3 linked regions of the Saccharomyces cerevisiae S288C genome follow. The gene in region 1 interacts genetically with each later gene. Each region holds a gene or a part of one and is shown in the gene's direction. Other genes may lie near its edges.

The links. A genetic interaction does not mean that the proteins touch.
Region 2: of MXR1 (region 1) and HMX1, extra expression of one rescues a mutant of the other (dosage rescue), as found in Saccharomyces cerevisiae (one study listed by BioGRID).
Region 3: mutations in MXR1 (region 1) and YKL069W impair growth when combined (synthetic growth defect), as found in Saccharomyces cerevisiae (one study listed by BioGRID).

Annotation. Positions count from the first base shown.
Region 1 is NC_001137.3:233,269-236,058, forward strand, and holds MXR1 (peptide-methionine-S-sulfoxide reductase), read left to right. Parts: upstream 1-1,668; coding exon 1,669-2,223; downstream 2,224-2,790. Other genes in the region: YEN1 (crossover junction endodeoxyribonuclease), read left to right, coding at 1-1,472; SAH1 (adenosylhomocysteinase), read right to left, coding at 2,502-2,790. UniProt on the Saccharomyces cerevisiae protein: Has an important function as a repair enzyme for proteins that have been inactivated by oxidation. Catalyzes the reversible oxidation-reduction of methionine sulfoxide in proteins to methionine.
Region 2 is NC_001144.5:552,224-555,289, reverse strand, and holds HMX1 (Hmx1p), read left to right. Parts: upstream 1-1,612; coding exon 1,613-2,566; downstream 2,567-3,066. Other genes in the region: ENT2 (epsin), read right to left, coding at 1-712; mitochondrial 37S ribosomal protein mS38 QRI5, read right to left, coding at 2,685-3,020. UniProt on the Saccharomyces cerevisiae protein: Plays an important role in the degradation of heme under conditions of iron deprivation.
Region 3 is NC_001143.9:305,280-308,327, forward strand, and holds YKL069W (L-methionine (R)-S-oxide reductase), read left to right. Parts: upstream 1-2,005; coding exon 2,006-2,548; downstream 2,549-3,048. Other genes in the region: OSI1 (Osi1p), read left to right, coding at 1-605; YKL070W (uncharacterized protein), read left to right, coding at 932-1,441. UniProt on the Saccharomyces cerevisiae protein: Catalyzes the reversible oxidation-reduction of the R-enantiomer of free methionine sulfoxide to methionine. Does not act on S-enantiomer of free methionine sulfoxide or R-enantiomer of dabsylated methionine sulfoxide.

The DNA of each region.
Region 1 (2,790 bases):
GGAAGAAGTTTGATCGCCTGTCTCTCTTATTTTTCAGCGTGCTATTAGGTGCCGATTACAATCGTGGAGTCAAGGGTTTGGGTAAAAACAAATCTTTGCAGTTGGCTCAATGCGAAGATCCTAACTTTTCCATGGAATTTTATGACATTTTCAAAGATTTCAATTTAGAAGATTTGACATCAGAAAGTCTGAGGAAGTCTCGGTATAGATTGTTTCAAAAAAGATTATATTTATACTGCAAGGATCATTCTGTCGAGCTATTTGGAAGAAATTATCCTGTTTTATTGAATCAAGGTTCATTTGAAGGCTGGCCATCAACTGTCGCAATCATGCACTATTTTCACCCCATTGTCCAACCATATTTTGATGAAGAAGTTCTCAGTGATAAATACATAAATATGGCTGGAAACGGACACTACAGAAACTTAAATTTCAATGAACTGAAATATTTTTTACAAAGTTTGAATTTGCCTCAAATTTCTAGCTTCGACAAGTGGTTTCATGATTCTATGCACGAGATGTTTCTATTAAGAGAATTTTTATCAATTGATGAGTCCGATAATATAGGTAAAGGTAATATGAGGATTACCGAAGAAAAAATTATGAACATAGATGGTGGAAAGTTCCAAATACCATGTTTTAAAATACGGTATACAACATTCTTGCCTAATATACCCATTTCTTCTCAATCTCCTTTGAAGCGCAGTAATTCTCCCAGTAGAAGCAAGAGTCCCACACGACGTCAGATGGATATAATGGAACACCCAAATAGTCTTTGGTTACCCAAATACTTGATACCTCAATCGCATCCATTAGTAATTCAATATTATGAGACACAGCAACTTATACAGAAAGAAAAAGAGAAGAAAGGTAAAAAATCGAATAAGTCTCGGCTACCACAGAAGAATAACTTGGATGAGTTTTTAAGAAAGCATACTTCGCCGATTAAAAGTATCGGAAAGGTAGGCGAGTCGAGAAAGGAAATCCTGGAACCTGTGAGAAAAAGGCTTTTTGTAGATACAGACGAAGATACTAGTCTGGAAGAAATACCGGCTCCCACAAGACTGACCACCGTCGATGAACACAGCGATAATGACGATGATTCGTTGATTTTTGTAGATGAGATTACAAACAGCCAAAGCGTTTTAGATAGTTCACCCGGTAAAAGAATTCGGGATCTTACACAGGACGAACAGGTTGACGTTTGGAAGGACGTAATAGAAATATCACCAATAAAAAAGTCAAGAACTACTAATGCTGAGAAAAATCCGCCTGAGTCTGGTTTAAAATCACGCTCAAGCATCACAATCAATGCTCGCCTTCAAGGTACTAAGATGTTGCCTCCAAACTTGACTGCTCCAAGGTTAGAAAGAGAACACTCCTCTGTCCTTGACCAACTTGTCACAGACGCACAAGATACAGTCGACCGGTTTGTAGCCTGTGACAGTGATAGCAGTAGCACTATTGAATGAGTTAACGGGCACAGCGTCAAAAAATCCGCCACCACAGTTGATCGCGCCGAAAACGAGGGAGTTGCGATGAGTAAAATGAAGGGCATATATAAACAAGAGTAGACAGAGACACATTTTTCAATATCATATATATAGATTTAATTGGAAAGACAGTTATATTCTAACGTCAAAAACTTAACAAGTAAATCAAGTTGCAATGTCGTCGCTTATTTCAAAAACCATTAAGTATGATCCAGCCAAGGATAAATTAATCACATTAGCATGTGGATGTTTTTGGGGTACAGAACATATGTATAGGAAGTATTTGAATGACCGTATAGTGGATTGTAAAGTAGGTTACGCTAATGGAGAAGAGTCTAAAAAGGATAGCCCCTCTAGTGTCTCTTATAAGAGAGTTTGTGGTGGTGACACAGATTTTGCGGAGGTTTTACAAGTATCCTATAATCCCAAAGTGATAACTTTGAGAGAATTAACTGATTTCTTTTTTAGAATCCATGATCCTACTACATCTAATTCACAAGGACCTGATAAAGGTACACAGTATCGCAGTGGATTGTTCGCTCATTCAGATGCTGATTTAAAAGAATTAGCCAAAATAAAGGAAGAATGGCAACCAAAATGGGGTAATAAGATTGCCACAGTTATTGAACCAATCAAGAACTTTTACGATGCTGAAGAATACCACCAGTTATATTTAGATAAGAATCCACAGGGATATGCATGCCCTACTCATTATCTGAGAGAAATGTAGCTTTTTTAGTGTACGTGCCCTTATTTATGAAAAAAAGTCAAGTGCATGAATGAAATATTTACTGTTGAAGAATTTATTATATATATAGGTATACAGGATCTATCTTTTCGATAACGTAACTTAGTATCACATGTATTAGTATTAATACTGTGATAGGATTGTTAGCTGTTGTTTTTATATTTGCAATTTATTTATGATCTTTTTTGATGATCAAACCGTTGAGTTTTTGAACATTAAAAAATAGTGAGAAAGAAGAACTGAAATGGGAATTGAATTGATCAATATCTGTAGTGGTCGGCCTTGAATGGACCTTCTTCTGGAATACCCAAGTATTCAGATTGGACTTTACTCAATTTAGTCAATCTAACACCCAAGTTGCCCAAGTGGAACTTAGCGACAGCTTCATCCAAGATCTTTGGCAAAACGTGGACACCAACTTCGAATGGGCCTGTCTTTTGGAATTCAATGTGCTTTTCTCTGAAAGACTTATCGTTAGACTTGAACAAAGCAATTTGAGCTAAGACTTGGTTAGAGAAGGAACAAGACATAACGAAAGATGAGTGACCA
Region 2 (3,066 bases), on another chromosome or scaffold:
GTTGTTGCTTCTGTAATCTCTGTAGTTCCTGCAATTGCTTCAACTCCTCTTCTTCTTTACTTAGTTGTAAGGCAGCTTGGAAGTCAGGATCTTCATCGTCGTACTGGGCCAGTTCTCTTCTACGTTGTTCATCTTCTTGAGCAGTAATTCTGCTCTCCTCTAGGGCCTTTTCCAAATCGTCCTGGTAAGAGGGAGAAGAATCGTGTGGGTTGCTCCTTGTTCTTTGTCTTCTTGGCCTTGGCCTAGCAGCTCTGTTCGCCCTTCTGTTTCTTGTATTCATAGACCTCTCTTCGCGTAGCCTTTCTTCATCATTCAACAAAGAGACGAGTTCTTTAGCCTTTACTCTGATAATTTGTCCCTCGTCAAATCCGGACTCATTTTCGTGTCTGAATTCCCTTAATGTCTTAATTACGTAAAAATTCTCTCTGCACCATAGCACACAGTTCTCACTCCCGAAACGAACAAGATAGTCCAAAACGGTCAGCGATTTGGCAACGTGTCTCCAGTATTTGCCCTTATCGTTCAGCCTCTTGTCTAACATATCCATAATCTCGAAGAAGTCCACCGAATCGTAAGATCTCTGTGCCAAATCGTCGAGAGTGTCTATCGATGGAGTCCTCGAGTCGTTCGCCGTGGCATCTCTCACAAGCACTTGTGTGGATGAGTAGCCCTTCATCATGTTCTTTGCAGAACGAACAAACTGCTTAGACATTACTTACAAAACAAATACACTTAATAGGGGTGTGTCAAAATAAACAAAAGAAGATGATAAGAATTTGTGAAGGTCAAACTAGAATGTGAGCGTATTCGCAGTTGTAGGCAAAACAGAACAAAATAATTAAATAAACGAACGCCTCCTTCAACAAAGGTCAATAATGTAGCAAAATATTGGGAGTGTGTCAATCCTTGAAAGGGTCCGTAACTAAACTCTTCTTTCTTTAGTTTCCACTACTTTTTTTTTCACCCTTCGCCGCAGGGTAATTTCTTGTAGGCCATGTATATACGATTAATCGTTACACATAAAATGCGGTTTGGACAAACAATACAATGGATCGTGCGGGATACTGCCAGACTACGCTATGCTCGACTGTAGAATACTGAGTGGTGATATCGCCCCTTCGGTATTGTGATCTTGGGCGCACTTGTTTATCTAACAGGTGCGGGTGCAAGTTTACTAGAGCATCGTCGTATGATGGGGAAAGTCAGGGTGTATGTGCCCGTCGATTGAGCACCAAGACCCGTTGCCATGTGCATATGTTATTGTACCCATAGAGGCAGTCCACGTTCGGCCATCTATCTATCTTTAGATAAACGGATCATTGGCGATACCGCCTGGCCATTTGCACCTGCTCGGGGTCGGCGTTATCGGACCGTGGAATTTGAGCCATGTAACACACGGTTTCAAACATGGGCTAATGACCTTCATAAGTAGGACGATTTACACCTGAGTTGGGTGTGATGGAGCAATGGCCAGGTGCCCCTCTCGCCCTCTTGTGTTTGTATATAAGAGCAACCTCCTCATACTCTCTTGCTTAGTCTAAGGAGGAGCTATTTAACAGTGCACAATATAACACAGCATATATACACACACACACATAAAATAACCGCAAAAATGGAGGACAGTAGCAATACAATCATACCCTCACCCACTGACGTGGGGGCGCTAGCAAACAGAATCAACTTTCAAACCAGAGATGCCCACAATAAAATCAATACCTTCATGGGCATAAAGATGGCCATCGCCATGAGACATGGCTTTATATACAGACAGGGTATTCTGGCGTACTATTATGTGTTCGATGCCATCGAGCAAGAGATAGATCGCCTACTGAATGACCCCGTAACGGAGGAGGAGCTGCAAACTTCGACCATTCTGAAGCAGTTTTGGCTCGAAGATTTTAGAAGATCTACGCAGATCTATAAGGACCTGAAGCTGCTATACTCAAACACGTTTAAAAGCACAGAATCATTAAACGAATTCCTGGCTACGTTCCAGAAGCCACCGCTACTACAGCAGTTTATCAATAACATCCACGAAAACATACACAAGGAGCCATGCACCATTCTTTCTTACTGTCACGTTCTGTACTTGGCGCTTTTCGCCGGCGGCAAGCTAATACGATCGAATTTGTACAGAAGACTGGGGCTCTTCCCCAACTTCGAGAAGCTATCACAGAAGGAACTGGTCAAAAAGGGCACAAACTTCTTCACCTTCAGCGATCTGGGTCCCACTGAAGAAACACGCTTGAAATGGGAATACAAGAAGAACTATGAGCTGGCCACCAGGACGGAATTGACCGAAGCACAAAAGTTGCAGATCATTAGCGTCGCAGAAGGCATTTTTGATTGGAACTTCAACATCGTTGCAGAAATTGGAGAGTTGAATCGTCGCGAGTTAATGGGCAAGTTCAGCTTCAAGTGTATTACGTACTTGTACGAAGAATGGATGTTCAACAAGGATTCTGCTACTAGAAGAGCACTCCACACGGTCATGCTGCTGGTGCTTTCTATTATCGCGATCTGGGTTCTTTACTTCTTGGTAAAGAGTTTTCTTAGCATAGTATAACGTATAAAAAAAAAAGTCTAAATACAAACATAATATATACATGAAATAATATCAAAATATGAAGAATAGGGAAGGAAAAACAGCAGAGAAAAACATGTGAGAGGTTTTTACAGCCCTATTATCTACCCTGAGATAGCTTTCTTCTTTCTGCCTTCTCCCTCTTTCTTCTTTTCCGCAGTTTGTGTTTCTTCATCTTTTTTTTCCTCTTTCTCATCACTGAATCGAGTTGCATCACTATATTTGAACCGTTTAATGGCTCACTGACTGTGCCAGTGATCCTTGTTGCCGTAGCCGTCATCATCATCATTGTACTCAGCATGCCCTCTTGCATGGGAGGCATTGTAGTGTTAATTGCTGTTTGAAAGGTTCTGTTAAAGTAGGACCCGCAACTTGGTTTCTTAACCACCGTCCTAGTAATGCCCAGCCACCCAGGTCGCAATGCCCTTCCTAGCATGTTTATCTCGTTCTGGTGTCGTGTGTGCTCGTCTTGGCTGGAACTC
Region 3 (3,048 bases), on another chromosome or scaffold:
TCAGGAAGAATATCCATATTGTCCAACTTGACCTTACAAAGGACGAAAGTATTGGCAATATTGCGGACGAGATCAAGAAAACGCCATTCTTCTTGGGTATTGATATTTTTATCGCATGTTCTGCAGTATCTGATTCTTATTACAAGGTCCTGGAAACTCCCAAATCAGTCTGGCTCAACCATTATAGCACAAACGCTCTGGGTCCGATACTAGCCCTTCAAAAAGTTTATCCACTGCTTCTTTTGAAAAAGACGAGGAAGATATTCTTTATCTCTAGTGTTGCAGGATCTATCAATGCGTTTGTACCACTTTCTGTTTCCGCTTATGGTCAATCGAAAGCTGCCTTGAATTATGCGGTAAAGACGCTCAGTTTTGAATTGAAACCGGAGGGTTTTACTGTCGTTGCTTTTCACCCAGGTATGGTATCTACTGATATGGGCCAATATGGCCTTGATCATTTTAAAGAGAAGAATATAGACATCAGCGGCGTAAATATTATCACACCAGAAGAAAGTGCCTCTGCGCTAATTGATGTCTTCCGAAAAATTTTACCAGAAGATAATGGAAAGTTCTTCAACTATGACGGCAGCGAAGGCGTCTTTTAGATAAGTGCAAATTTGGCTACTTATATACAACTCAGATACGGAATATACCTTTGTGTAATACACTTTTTTATTGGTAGGTGCTATATGATGTGACTTTGCTTTTGCCTCACGCCCCTTTAAGAAGGTATTTTGTGGCATCACTTTGTATGCTGATCTTTTAACGCTTAACCAGATTTGAAACTATCTCTATTATGTCCTCTGATTTTAATTAGGATGGTATATAACTGGTCCTAGAACCGAAGATTCTGCATATTCGCCGAAAACCATCCCTTAATATTATAGACATAAATTGCCAGTCTGAGAAGAATCCAAGAATCTATTTCATAATGTACATTCCTAAACATTTTGAGTCCATGGAACTCTCAAGGTACAAATTATCAAAAAAACCCCCGCTAGGAACACTATTCTCCTCTAAGGCTAGCAGGCAAGGTTTCTTCGGATGGAGAACTTCTTCCAATAAAGATGACCCCGATTTTGGTATGTGCGCATCACATATTCCATTTGTATTCGTGGAGTTCGATAATGGAGAGCATAAACTTATTGCACATTTAGCACGGAAGAATAAACATGTGGAAATGCTGGAAAGAGTTCAAAAATGCTTAGTGGTATTTCAGAGCGTCGATTCATACATTTCTCCGGCGTGGTTCCCAATGAAGAAAAAGACCCATAAGTTCGTACCAACATGGGATTTTGCCGCTGTGCACGTTTACGGTACACCAAGGATTATCCGCGACGATAAAGACTGGCTTATTAATATGTTATCAACTTTGACTGACCAAGAAGAAGAGAAAAGACCTGAGGGGGAAAATGTACGAAGTAAAGTGGAGCGTTTCTGATGCCCCAGATTATTATATCAATGCTATGCTTCAAAACATTGTCGGGCTTGAAATCAGTATTACCCATATTCAATCAAAGTTCAAATTCGACCAAAATAAATCACAGATTAATGTTGAAGGCATATGTTGAAAATTCAAAGAATTTGGTGGAGAAAGAGGCCAAGAAATGGCTCGCCTTGTAAAAGATAACTATCCAGGTAGCTTATAAGTTTTGTATTTTCTCTGCGCATTAAATATCAATAATTATTTATTCGTTTTCATTCTTTTCTTATCTTATCTTTTAATATTGACTTAACAGAGGGCAAGGCCCACCGTGATGCAGAAAGAACACAAACGCAAAGGTTTACCTATTCCCTGCAGTTAGAAAACCATGTTTGGAGGAAATGAAGAAAGATATTTACAGTTGAGTTTACAACGAAGTATTATCCTTTTTAACGAACGCTAATATCATCGGTTTCTTCATGTTTATATGATGACGATTTTCCCAAATGTAAGCAAACAAAGGCGTTTGCTGATAAAACAAATCCGTAAATTAGAAAAAAAAACAAAAAAAAACAAACAGATATGGGCTCATCAACCGGGTTTCATCATGCCGATCATGTTAACTATTCTTCAAATCTGAATAAGGAAGAAATTCTAGAACAGCTTCTGCTTTCATACGAGGGGCTATCAGATGGACAAGTCAATTGGGTTTGTAATTTGTCAAACGCTTCGTCATTGATCTGGCATGCGTACAAGTCATTAGCTGTTGATATCAATTGGGCTGGATTTTACGTTACTCAAGCTAGCGAAGAAAACACACTGATATTGGGCCCATTTCAAGGAAAGGTCGCTTGCCAAATGATTCAATTCGGTAAAGGTGTTTGCGGAACTGCAGCCTCTACAAAGGAAACGCAGATTGTTCCAGATGTCAACAAGTATCCCGGTCATATTGCGTGCGACGGTGAAACCAAGAGCGAAATTGTTGTTCCAATCATATCCAATGATGGTAAGACATTGGGCGTCATAGACATAGATTGTTTGGATTACGAAGGATTCGACCACGTAGACAAAGAATTCCTAGAAAAACTTGCTAAATTAATTAATAAATCATGTGTCTTTAAATAAGAGTTTTGAGAACGAACAAGTATTTACGCACATAACCAATATTCCCATGTAGCTCTCTTGTCAAATATATTGTCGGACGGGCACGAATAGAGATAAACATCAAGAAAGATTGAGGGGCTTCAGGAGATCATTGGTGAAGAAAACATTCCCTGTTCGCCAAATTGACAGCTCTCAATCTTTATTTGTAACCCTTATTGCAAATTTATGGCATGTTTACCCTCAAACAAAGGATATTCAGCATTTATTAAAAATATCTTTGCTTGGTAAGAAAAAAACGTCAACGAAAATGACGGAGATATCTGACGGAAAAAAAAATTGATTTCGCCCAGGATCGAACTGGGGACGTTCTGCGTGTTAAGCAGATGCCATAACCGACTAGACCACGAAACCACTTAATTGTTGAATAACGGACATCTAAAGTCATATCTATAGTGCAGCAAGTTCTTCTTCAGCTCACCCCAGTCTCGCTAAAGGCATGCTTACTTTGCCGTAAAGAAGAA